Caenorhabditis elegans: one gene and its partner. The protein of the gene in region 2 interacts with the protein of the main gene of each other region in a pairwise test. Each region holds a gene or a part of one and is shown on either strand. Other genes may lie near its edges. The genes, in order: atx-2 and gdi-1.

Region 1 (7,803 bases), on a different chromosome or scaffold from region 2:
TATTAAAATGAATATATATTGGGGAAACATTATATAAAGCACTGAAAAGCGCAGGAAGAGCGCATATAGATATGATTACGGGGGGCTCTGAGAGTGCTGCTGATCACGTGGTGTGCCTTGTTGAGACGGTGGTGGCGGTGGTGGTGGACCAGATTGTTGACCAGATGGATTTACACCTTCAAAGCTTCATAAACGGTTAGAAATTTGAACTTTATAAACATTTAAAACATTACCTTGATTGCCTTGGAACTGCTGTGGAAGCGAATTCTGGCGGTGCATTTGTTGCTGTTGCTGTTGTTGTTGTTGCTGATAGTTTGGCATTGTACGGTAGTCAAAGTATCCCGACGTCGGGAATCCTTGATCAGATCGCTCGCCCATAAGACTTTGTTGAGGATGTTGGTTCTGTTGCATTGGCATCTGTTGGGGCATTATCATCGGATAGAATACTTGCTGAAAATGATTGAAAATTAGATTTACGTTTTTTTCTCGGTTTTGTTCTTTTATAGAGTGTGAGACATTTTCAAATATTTCTCAAAAAATGGTAATTTTAAATAAAATCTCAAAATTCAATTCAAAAAAAAAATCTATCCAGAAAAATTGCCGAAATAGGAGATCTCAGCTAAAATTTGCCAATTTTTCGTTGATTTGGGCACATTCAAGTTCTACAGTCGGAATCGAAACTTTCTCGCTATTTTTAAGAAAAAAAGTATGAAAAAAAACATTAGGCAATTTTTTCTCCTTTTTCACTGGGCGATTTCAGCTGTAGAACTTGCAGATCTACAAAAATTTAGCAGAGTCAATCACAATTTTGTTCTGAAACTTCTGAAAGAAAGGAAAAAAAACAAGAAAACCAAAAATCAAAAATACCACTGAAAAAAGGAAAGAAAGAGAGAGATTAAACATGCCTGAGGCTGCTGATAGTAATTAGGGATCTGCGGATGCATTTGATGCGGTCCCTGCATCACCATATACTGTTGAATGTGTTGCTGCTGCTGCTGCATCATCTGTGGTGGTGGTGCTCCGACGTGTGGAGGAGCATGATGTGGTGGATGTTGTTGTTGCTGATGCTGCTGCTGTGGTGGTGGTGGTGGAGGAACAGCACCTGGTGGAGATCCGCTTCGTTGTCCCGACTGAGAGCTCGTCGATCCGCTGTGACTAGCGTTGCTGCTCGACTCGGCCTGCATGTTTCCGTTCTGAAAATAGAGTCACGGTCACAATATTGAAAAGCTTCATCTTATTAGGCACAGAAAGTTTGAAAGAGGGAAACATGCGAATAAGTTTAAAAAAAAAGAAATCTCACCTGTGGAGCACCGCTCATCTTTGGCAACTCGCCACGTGGTCCCGGAGTCGTTGGCTGACTATTCGGATGTGATTGTGGGCGACTTTGCTCTCCGGAGAATTGTTGTTGCTGCGGTTGTTGCTGTTGCTGTTGCTGTGGTGGTGGAGGACCCTGGTATCTCGGCTGCTGCTGCTGACCCTGTGGAGGCATCATGTACACTTGTGGCTGCTGATATCTCTGTTGATAGGCACCCTGTGGAGCTTGCTGTGGCATCATCTTCATTTGGTATGGAGCAGCTTGCTGCATCTGGCCTTGGTACTGTGAATGATAGAATTGCTGAAAAAATTTAGAATTTTTGGAATTGAGAAATCAGGAATTTTAGATTAGGAAAAGTTTAAAATTCTAAAAATTCAAGGCCTTTAAAAATAAATGTTTTCCCTATTTCTACAGGGATATTCCAAATTTTCGGTTACCTGAGATGTGACTGGAACCATTTGTGGCGGTCCATATGGCATGTAGAGTGGCTGCTTCTCACGATACTCTCCATCTCTCAACTGATGATTCTGACCACCAGCCGCACTGGTTGGCACCTGATGCTGCTGATTTGGCTGCTGAGCAACAGTGACCGGAGTCGCAGCTCCCGGGCCATACATCTGTCCAGGAACACCTTGCATTGGGACATGTTGAATTGGGAATTGATGATTCTGTGGATAGCCGCCACCGCCTTGTTGCTGTTGTCCAGTCTGTTGCCACATCATCATCGGTGGTTGACCTTGATTTTGTGGGCCGCCCATGTGTGGTGGAACCATTCCCATTCCAGGAGCAGGTGGTCCTTGTTGTGGAGCCATCATTGCTGGATGTGGCTGTTGTTGTGGATGATATTCTGAAAATTTTAGAGTTAAAACTCCGTCTTGGCAGCCAAAATTTTTGTATCAAAAATTGATACCTATGTGTATTTAGAAAAATATTTATTTTGGTTTAAAAATTCCCTCTCAAATGACACAATTTGAGATCTTTCTCAAACCTTTCAACAAAAATTATCTTTTTTCTACATACATTTCTGTATTAATTTTTGATACAAAAATACTGAAAAAAAGCCGTTTTGTTCGTTTTCCTACCATTTTGCACTGGAGTCGTCGCTGTTGGAGTCGCCGGAGCCACACGTGGCTTGAACTCTGGAGCATTGATGTTGAATTTGAACGACGATGACTTCGAAGTGATCACTGAATCATTCTCTGAAGTAACGGAAACATTGTCGTCTTCCTGATGCTTTTCCGCGTCGTTCTGTACGTTTTGCACTGGTGCAGCTGCCACATCGACGCTTGTGGATGGAGCTTCTTCTGGAAATTGGCAAAATTGTTCATTTTTGTTGAGAAAAATAGAAAATAGATACCTTTTTTAGTCTCAGCCTCCTCTCCATTGGTTGTCGGTGGTGGAGTCGACTCATTTGATGATCCCTTGGCAACCAGCGAGCTCGGTGGTCCGCGATTCCAGGCACTACCCGAGTTTCCAGCTGGCACCGCCGGAGCCTGATCCTTTGGAGCCGTCGCAATCGAAAACTCGTTGCCCCAGTTCTTGAGATCTGTCACACGGGATCCACCGGCAGCAGCAGTGGCAGTGGTGGCAGATTGAGCTTTATCGTCAGCCGGCTTCACATTGTTGTTGGGTCTCGGATCCAGCATCTGCTTCTGCTGTTGACGGAACGAGTGGTCGTGGCCCTGGTTCTGGCCCTTCCCCTTGGCCATCTGCCAGTCTGAAAATTAAGTAGAATGAGTCATTGTTTAAACAAAAACGACGGAAATTGTTTTCTAAGGAATCAAAAATCGAATTTTTACCAAAAATACGTTACCCGGTCTCGGCACGACAAGCTTGTTTAATGCAAAAGGGTGGGCGCCTTGAAAAAATATTTCAAACTCTTGTTGCTGTGGAATATTCATATGAAACTATGAAAAAACAGAAATTTCGCAGCAAAAAGAGTTTGAAAATACAGTACTCTTTAAAGGTGCATACCATTAAACACAAATATGTCGTGTCGAGACCGGTTACAGTATTTTAACGCTATACCAAAATGCTCTTGATCTGATTCTGACAGATTTTCAAGAGGAATTTAAATCAAGATTTCTTTTAAAAGACACTAAAAACTTCGAAAACTGTGGAATTTCCATTATCTAGAAGGATCTGAGGACTGGTGAAGCTGCAAAGGAGGCAAAAAAGGTATGAACGATCGCATGTTTCATCATCATTCAGACACACACACAACAACAAAAAATCACCGAGAAAAAAGAGAGCGGAAAGGAATGAGAGAGAGAGAGAAAGTGTGGCGCCTCCCTAACGATCGATTGGTACACAACATAGACAACACGGTTTTTCGAGAAGAACACAACCAACTTGTGATGATGATGATGAAGATGATAAGCGGTGAGGAAGCGGACAGAGAGAGAGAGGTAGACAGAGGTAGAGAGAGAGACTTGATGAAAGCATGTATCAGAGACGCAGGTGTGTTTGTATGGATAAACTGGGACCCGTTCGGTCATTTTTTCAATTTTTTTTTTCGGCGTTTTCACTTAAAAATCGGCATTTACTTGTTTTTTCTGACACAAAGAAAACGTTTTTCAGTCAAAAATCGGAAAAAAAAACGATTTTTCCACTGAAAATAACACTATTGCAGAATTATTTCGTATTTCTGTGATCAAAATGTGAGGAAAGAATGAAAAATTGGTTTTCTGATGGGAAAAATCTGATTTTTTTGCTGAAAATTTGCAAAAAAAAAATCGCTTTTTTCCGCATCCCACGAGGAAAAACACTCCAATTAATCAGCTGAAGACAACCGCTGCAGCCGCTAGCGAAATTATGTCATGCGAAATGGGTCAAGAAAACGGAATACACCGAAAAAAGAACTGTTGGACGCGGAGAAAGAGAACGAGAGAGAGATAATGATCAAAGAGACACACTGTACTCTCGGGAATGTACACGAACCATTTTCCTCGTTCTGGCGGCGATAACCTTTTTGACCTTGCTGCTGCTGCTGATTCTGTGAATAGTTCTGCTGAGCCGCTGCTGGAGCACCGTAGCGACTATTGTTCGCTGAAGAGCTTCCACTATTACGACGATCTCCGCGAAGACCCTCGGCACGTCGATTCACTGGCTGCCCGTTTGGTGCAATATTCGGATTGCGGCGCTGTTGTTGTTGCTGGTTGAAGCTGTTATTATTGCTGAAACAAATAAATTTTTAAATTAATAAATTCAAATTTTTAAAGAATTCCAACCGCTTTCGGCCATTGCCATTCTCGAAATCCTCTTGACGCGTGATTTTGTCCAAATCTCGCTCGTCGTCGTCGTTCTCCAAGTTCGCCATAAACTTCGACGACGAGTTGGACTCAATTTCTCTAGCGAGCCGCTCGGCGCGTGCTCGATCTTCGTCGGTTCCTACCACTTCGACGCTGAAATTTGGGATTTTATTGCTTTGCACGATGTTTTCCAAAATTAAAATTAAAAAATCGGGTCAAAATATAGGAAAGCACTTGATCCATCAGAGAATAACACTGATTTCGGTAGAAATATTCGAAAAAATGCTTAAAAATAACCTGAAAATTGTCAATTATCAACTTTCAGGACATTTTTATGCAAAATTTTGCAAAAATGGTTCAGTGACAAGATTTTTTCAAGGCAAAACTGAAAAAAATAGATTCAGATGCCCAAAAACGCTTGCAGACTCCGAAAATCCTGGATTTTTCAAGCGAAAAAATTCAAATAAATTACGTTGTGTATTGCGTTAAATCCTCTTTGAACGTCGACACCACGTTCATCTTCTCGTTGGCGGCGAACATGTCGTTGACCGACCATCCGGTGCCGTTGTTGTGATTGTTGCTGCGACGAGCGGCGGTTTGTCCACCAGCAACGACGACGTCGTCCTCAATGGATCCTCCGAGTCCGTCCTCCTCACCTCCGTTCCATTCCTGAAGCTCTTCGCCCTCGATTGGAGTATCTCCGTGGTATTGTCTATCGGTGACGAATTTGCTGACTGAAAATGGAGAGTTTTTCAGCTTTTTCGGATTAAAAATCGTAACTGTGAACCCGACTTGGCCCAAAATTAAAGATGTCATGCATTTTTTTTAATGAAAAAGTTCCCTGAAACAGCTCTTACCAGCATGCTGCTTCTTGATCTCTTGCGTAACGTACGCAAAATCGACAATATCACTATAGTGAAATACCATCTTGTCTCTGCATTCCGACTCTGTTCTCAGCAAGTTATTCTCGTTCTCCTTCGTAATTTCCACGACGCACTGCATCCCGAAATCGAAATCCTGAGACACGGCGCCCAGCACCCCAGAATATCGCTTTTTGTCCGTAGTATTAATGATAATTACACGTCCGATCATATCATTGATGGCGCTCAACACATCGCCATTTAGCGCAGGAAGACCCGTTGGTGTTGACTGGAAAAATTGTATTTTTAAAGAAATTTTCAAGTTGCCAGCGCTTACCATTTCTTTCATTCGCACTTTGGATGCAAATAAAATATAAATAAATAGAAGATTGTCTGTGGAGCAGTCAAAGAGTTTGGGTACAGGAGAAATGTACCTGAAAATGGAAAAAATTTGAATTTTAAAAACAGCAATTTCGCAACGATAATGGAAGTTTAATATGAGTAACAGTTTTGGGCAAATTTTTGAAATTTCCAACACAATCCCGTTTTTCAAGGTTTCACCACGTGCAAAACGAGCCACAAGAAGAAAATTATCCACAAAATTCGCGGAAAAATTTGAAAAACGTTCGAGAGAGAGACGAGAGAGCACGCAGACAGCGGAGGACACGCACATGCGGTAAATGACGCGCCGATTTCCGTCGGGATTGCCTGAGACTCCGCCCTATGCAAGTGCGCCGCACAGGGTTTCGCAAGTGTGCCGCGCGCATTTTACACAGTGGGGTTTTCAGGAAAGTCGATATAGTGGGAATTAGTGGATTTTTTCCAAGGAAAGTGGTAAAACATGAACATTTCGCCTCAACAGTTGAGTTTTTGGGCAATGAATAAAAGCATTTTCCCCAAATCAAAAAGTTTATCCGCAATTTATTGAATTAGGTCTGACAAAATTCAGATTTTGTTCTTAAAAGAAAGATAGGACATTTCTTCATAGGAGCACACACTTTTTTCATTTGACAAAAAATTATCTTGCCGGGTACCACATTTCTCGTGCAAAATTTCGCGATTGGGAAATATTTATCTGTTTGACACCACAGATTTTGGGGAAACTCCCACTCGGAGAAATTCTTTCCCTGCGCTATCTTCCAATACACTTTGTCGATAATACAATTTGAAATAAACAAAACTAATTCTCAATTTAAAATTTATCGCTCATCAAAAATATTTAAAAATTTCCCCTGTTTTTCGGTCTTTTTTTCAAGACTCAAATTTCTGTAGAGAAAGGTTCTGTGACGTCTCTTGTCAAGTTCGCCCCATTGACACGATGAAGAGAGACGCAGACTGAAAATAAAAATATTTTTGATGACATTTTGGAATAAATTCAAGAACATTTTACTTTTTGCGGAAAAACCGAGTTTCTCGTATTGTTTTGAACAATTTTTAGCAATTTCAGTGTAATTTCTTCATTTTTCGACGTTAATTTCTTCGTAAAACGCTAAATATTTAGTATTTTCAGCATGGAAAGCCCAATGGAAGTCGATGCTCCCAGAGAATCAGCTTCGCTGACGTCTCTCGACTCAGCAAATGATGGTAAGCTAGTCTAGCTTCTAATTTACATAATGAACTTGAAATTTTCAGTGGAAAGAGTCTTCCTGCGGCTCGTCAACGCCAACTCGGACGCCAAGCTACAAACTATCACAGATCGGCACTTGTGCGATGTGTTGGAGTTTGCCGGGAGAAAGCAGGAGCACATTCAGCTGGTAAGACGCAAAAATTCGCTGAAATTTGATTCAAAATGACTAAAATTCGTGATTCCAGGTCACCGAATTTCTCACACACTTCAACAAAGTCGTCAAGAGCAATTTGGCGATCCGTCTCCCAGTGCCACGTCTGCTCGAACTTTTCCAAGGCCCGAGTGCCATTTCATCGGTTTGTAGCGTTCTCCAGACGATGTATAACCCAAAAAATTAATATTTTTTCCAGAATTTCAGTCTGATCTATCTCAAAATGGCAAAAGACCGGATCCAGGCCGCCGAGCAGCTAGAGTTTCTGCCTGTATACTTGACATCGTTCAGCAAGAAGCCCAATGATCTCAATTACATTTACGAGTAAGTAAAGTAGAACTATTTATATTTTCTATATAATTTTTTCCAGCATTCTCTCGTTGTGCCTGCCGGGACTCCACGAGCTCGCGAGAATCGAGAAAAAACACTGGCCGACGATCGAGATGAGCTCTGTCGACGTGGAAATCATTGCCAGATGCTTTCAGGCGATTCTCGTGTTCTCTGCACGAAGCATGTACGTAATTTCAGTTTTCAGAAGCGAATTTCCTGGTTTTAATCTGAAACATGCCTAGCATTTTGTTAATTTTACAATATTTCAT
Region 2 (4,357 bases):
AATTTCCTTTCTTTTTTGTTGAAAAAAGTGTTGATCCAACCCAATTCAATTCGATTTCCGGTGCCCCCTTGGAATAATTTTGGATACAAAGCTTTCAACTCTTCTGTTCTGTTCTCTATTTCCCTATTTTGCTCGCCGTCTTCTCCTCCTCCACCCGTCCGGCTTCTCCTCTTCTTGGACATTTTATCGATTTTGTTCTTCTTCGGTGTTGTGTCTCTCTCTCTCTCCCCCCCCCCTTTTCGATGTGTGGGCCAACACAACAATCCCCACATTTCTGCGTCTCGTGTTCTCACCCTCATCCGGTTGTGTCTGCGTCTATGGCTTGTAGGTTCTCGAACTTTCAGTTCTAGATGTCCTAGACTTCAATTTTGAAGGTCTCAACTGGATATTATTACAGTTCGGAAGTCTTGAATAATACTAGATCCAACCCAGATGTCCTCAGATGTTATTTGATCTCTCCAGTCTCTCGCCGTCGCTCCCTTCTCTCAGTCCATTTTGGACGCTCATTTCGACCGCCATCCCGTTTGGGGTTAACCGCGGAGAGAGTGAGTGAGAAAGGGAATGAGCGCTCAAATTCACTCTCACTCACACTCACACGCAGCAGCATCATCTCGTAGACCCTCTCTGGTTGTTGCTGTCTCTGATGACAAACATTCCCTAACTGGGCGCCCCTGTGTTCGTCGTTGCCACGTGTCATTCTATGTCGGCGATTCGGCCATTTGAAGCTCGATCCACGTGTCGCTAGGACAGCTGACGTCATCTTTTCAACTATTATGTTTACTGCGATTATACGAATCAATTGGTGAAATTATTTAGAATAACCTATTTTTTGAGTTGTTTACGATTTTGAAGTCACTTGACTGAAAACTTTCACAGAAAAGGTCTTAAATGAAATGAAACTCTTGCGTAGACTTGATGAAGTTCTGTGAAACTCCTACGTACTCTTGAATAGTAATCGAAAATTATTGATTTCTACTTCCAATCTACTCAAAAGTTAAAAAATATTTCGCAACACATCTTTTCCCCATTCTTTTCTGTATTTTTTAGCAATTTACCTTAAAATCTTCAATAATTCCAGCCTACGATGCAGTCGTCGCTTCGGAAATTGTCGAACACGTCGCCGATCTTCCCGGATTCATTGGCTGCCTCGCTGAGCTGGCTCGCCCCGGTGCCCCGCTCTTCATCACAACTATCAACAGAACGTGGCTGAGCAAATTGGCAGCTATTTGGCTTGCAGAGGTTTGATTTTTTTCTTTCTTTTTTTTTTGGAAATAAATTTGAAAATTTTCAGAATGTACTCAAAATCGTGCCGCCCGGAGTCCACGACTGGGAAAAATTCATCACACCCGCCGAGCTCACTTCACATCTCGAAAAAGCGGGTTGCCGGGTGACGGCGGTGCATGGATTAATGTTTCATCCGGTTGGAAATCACTGGACATGGATCGAATCGACTCAGTGTAATTACGGAATTTTGGCAGTGAAGAATTAGATTTGAAGATTTTTTGTTTAGTGTTGCTAGTTTTTTTTTCATGTTTCCATATGTTACTGGTGCTATTTTTTTTAATTTTCAAAAAAAAAAATAATTTGAGACCTAACTCTTTTAAATGTCAAACAATTGGGTTTGATCTACCCGCAAAATATCTGATTTTCAACAACTTTATTCTCTGCGTCTCTCCCTCCCTCCCTCTCACTCTCTTTCTTCAGTTTTTATAATTATTTTCTTGAATTCTAAAATTTCCTTTTTGAAATTCAACTTTTCTTTCAGTTTCTCTTTCCCCGCAATTTTCCAAATCACAATCCGATCAATTTTCAGGAGTTCCAACCAATTCCCCGAAAAACTCGCTCGAAATGGATGAGGAATACGATGCCATCGTTCTCGGAACCGGCCTCAAGGAGTGCATCATCTCGGGAATGCTGTCGGTTTCCGGAAAGAAGGTTCTCCACATTGACCGAAACAACTATTATGGAGGAGAGTCAGCTTCACTGACTCCACTTGAGCAACTCTACGAGAAATTCCACGGTCCACAAGCCAAGCCACAACAGGAGATGGGACGTGGACGTGACTGGAACGTCGACTTGATTCCAAAGTTTTTGATGGCCAACGGGCCATTGGTCAAGCTTCTCATCCATACTGGAGTCACTCGCTACTTGGAATTCAAGTCGATTGAGGCCTCGTTCGTTGTGAAGGGTGGAAAGATCTACAAGGTGCCGGCCGATGAGATGGAGGCTCTTGCCACTTCCCTTATGGGAATGTTCGAGAAACGTCGCTTCAAGAAGTTCCTCGTCTGGGTGCAACAATTCGATGAGAACAAGGAGGACACTTGGCAAGGACTTGACCCACACAACAGCACAATGCAGCAGGTTTACGAGAAGTTTGGCCTTGACGAGAACACCGCCGATTTCACCGGACACGCGCTGGCCCTCTACCGTGACGATGAGCACAAGAATCAACCATACGCTCCAGCTGTTGAGAAGATCCGATTGTACTCTGACTCATTGGCTCGTTATGGAAAGTCACCATACTTGTACCCATTGTACGGATTGGGAGAACTTCCACAGGGATTCGCTCGTCTCTCGGCCATCTACGGAGGAACCTACATGCTCGACAAGCCAGTCGACGAGATTGTGATGGAGAATGGAAAGGCTATTGGAGTCAAGTGTGGAGATGAGATTGTCCGTGGAAAGCAGATCTACTGCGATCCCTCATACGCCAAGGATCGTGTCAAGAAGACTGGACAAGTTGTCCGAGCCATTTGTTTGTTGAACCATCCAATTCCAAATACAAATGATGCTCAATCCTGCCAGATTATCATTCCACAAAAGCAAGTTGGAAGACATTATGGTAAATTTATAGTCTTGGAAAAGCAGCGCGTCGCACAGAAAAGAGGTAGGGCGTAATTTTGCAATCTTGCGGCACGGGTTTTTCCTACTTTTTTTGTTAATGTTTGAATGAAAATATTATCGAATTTAATTATCCGAAGACTAAAATAGTCTCACGATCCTATGAGAATTAGGTAAAATTGAAACTTTATTGAAAAATAAATTAAAAGGAGGAAAAACCGAGCCGCCGGTTTGCCAATTTACTCTCCGCCTCTTTTTCTGTGCGACTCGCTGCTTTTTGCAAAACTCACGCTTTCAGCATCACTAATTCCCTTTTTTTCAGACATCTACATCTCATGCTGCTCCAACACGAACATGGTGACACCAAAGGGATGGTATTTGGCAATGGTCTCCACCACTGTCGAGACAGCCAATCCAGAGGCTGAAGTTCTTCCAGGACTTCAACTTCTTGGCGCAATTGCCGAGAAGTTCATTCAGATTTCCGATGTTTATGAGCCATCTGACTTGGGATCTGAGTCACAGATCTTCATCTCTCAATCTTATGATGCTACGACTCACTTTGAAACCACTTGCAAGGTAATTTAAAGAATTTAAAACAATTTTTGAAAGAAATTATAATTATTCATTTTTCAGGACGTGCTCAACATGTTCGAACGTGGAACGACCAAAGAATTCGACTTCACCAACATCACTCACTTGTCGTTGAATGATCAGGAATAATTGAATATCCATTCCCTTCTTTTGAGTACTCTGATTTGACGCTTCTGATGCTGCTTTTGCTCTTTTTTGTCGCCTCTATAAAAAAAACGATTCCCGTTCCGTTTGTTTCTCCTGTCCAATGTTCATTTTCAACCGATTTTAATTTATTGTATTTTCTCTTTTCCAGTCTCTATCCTCATGTGATTCCCCGAGAACCCTTTTTTTAAATTTCAATTTTCGTCCCGAAAACAAAATTTCTTCCCACTATTTCCTTTGTATTTAACTTTACAATTCCCAAACAAAGTCCGCTTCGTAAATCTATAAATCACTTTATCCTTTTGAAGTACTTCATTACAGAAATACAATTATTATCACGATCAGAAAGTTTGGATAGGATGGGATTACATTTGATGAAGGGAGATCATTTCCATTTGAAAATTGGAGAAGAATAAGCATATATGTTTTTACATAATTGATTAAAGAAAAAATCCCAGTTTAAGCCATCACAAGCAGAGCATCGAGCTGATCATCGACACGTTGCATCATCTTTTTGTACAAATCCTCCATATTCTCGAGCAATGCCATTTTCAGTCCGAATTGTAGAGACTCGTCTTTAGCGAGAAGAGCACGTGTGACGACCGCATATGTTTCACAATCGTTGCGAAAAGCCTGAAAAATAGAAAATTTGACTCAAATTAGTCAATGAGTAACTTGAAAACTTACCGATTCGAGTTGCTTCTTCTTAATATGGAAACGCATCATTTGCTCATCGTTGAGCTTCGCAAGCTTCAACTCCCTCACCATCGCCTTCTCCTCG

The links.
Region 1: the proteins of gdi-1 (region 2) and atx-2 come close enough for resonance energy transfer, tested with the Caenorhabditis elegans proteins (one study listed by BioGRID).

The regions. Positions count from the first base shown.
Region 1 is NC_003281.10:10,459,685-10,467,487, reverse strand, and holds atx-2 (Sm domain-containing protein), read right to left. Parts: upstream 6,100-7,803; coding exon 5,764-6,099; intron 5,716-5,763; coding exon 5,424-5,715; intron 5,301-5,423; coding exon 5,039-5,300; intron 4,720-5,038; coding exon 4,546-4,719; intron 4,492-4,545; coding exon 4,256-4,491; intron 3,033-4,255; coding exon 2,673-3,032; intron 2,620-2,672; coding exon 2,398-2,619; intron 2,163-2,397; coding exon 1,753-2,162; intron 1,616-1,752; coding exon 1,301-1,615; intron 1,194-1,300; coding exon 902-1,193; intron 447-901; coding exon 234-446; intron 185-233; coding exon of another isoform or gene 177-184; coding exon 76-176; downstream 1-75. Other genes in the region: ecps-1 (Proteasome component Ecm29 N-terminal domain-containing protein), read left to right, coding at 6,938-7,010, 7,059-7,180, 7,239-7,349, 7,404-7,528, 7,575-7,718.
Region 2 is NC_003282.8:14,790,342-14,794,698, reverse strand, and holds gdi-1 (Rab GDP dissociation inhibitor), read left to right. Parts: upstream 1-1,848; coding exon 1,849-2,887; intron 2,888-3,163; coding exon 3,164-3,417; intron 3,418-3,474; coding exon 3,475-3,561; downstream 3,562-4,357. Other genes in the region: coq-3 (Ubiquinone biosynthesis O-methyltransferase, mitochondrial), read left to right, coding at 1,079-1,239, 1,292-1,489; melo-1 (RRM domain-containing protein), read right to left, coding at 4,036-4,209, 4,264-4,357.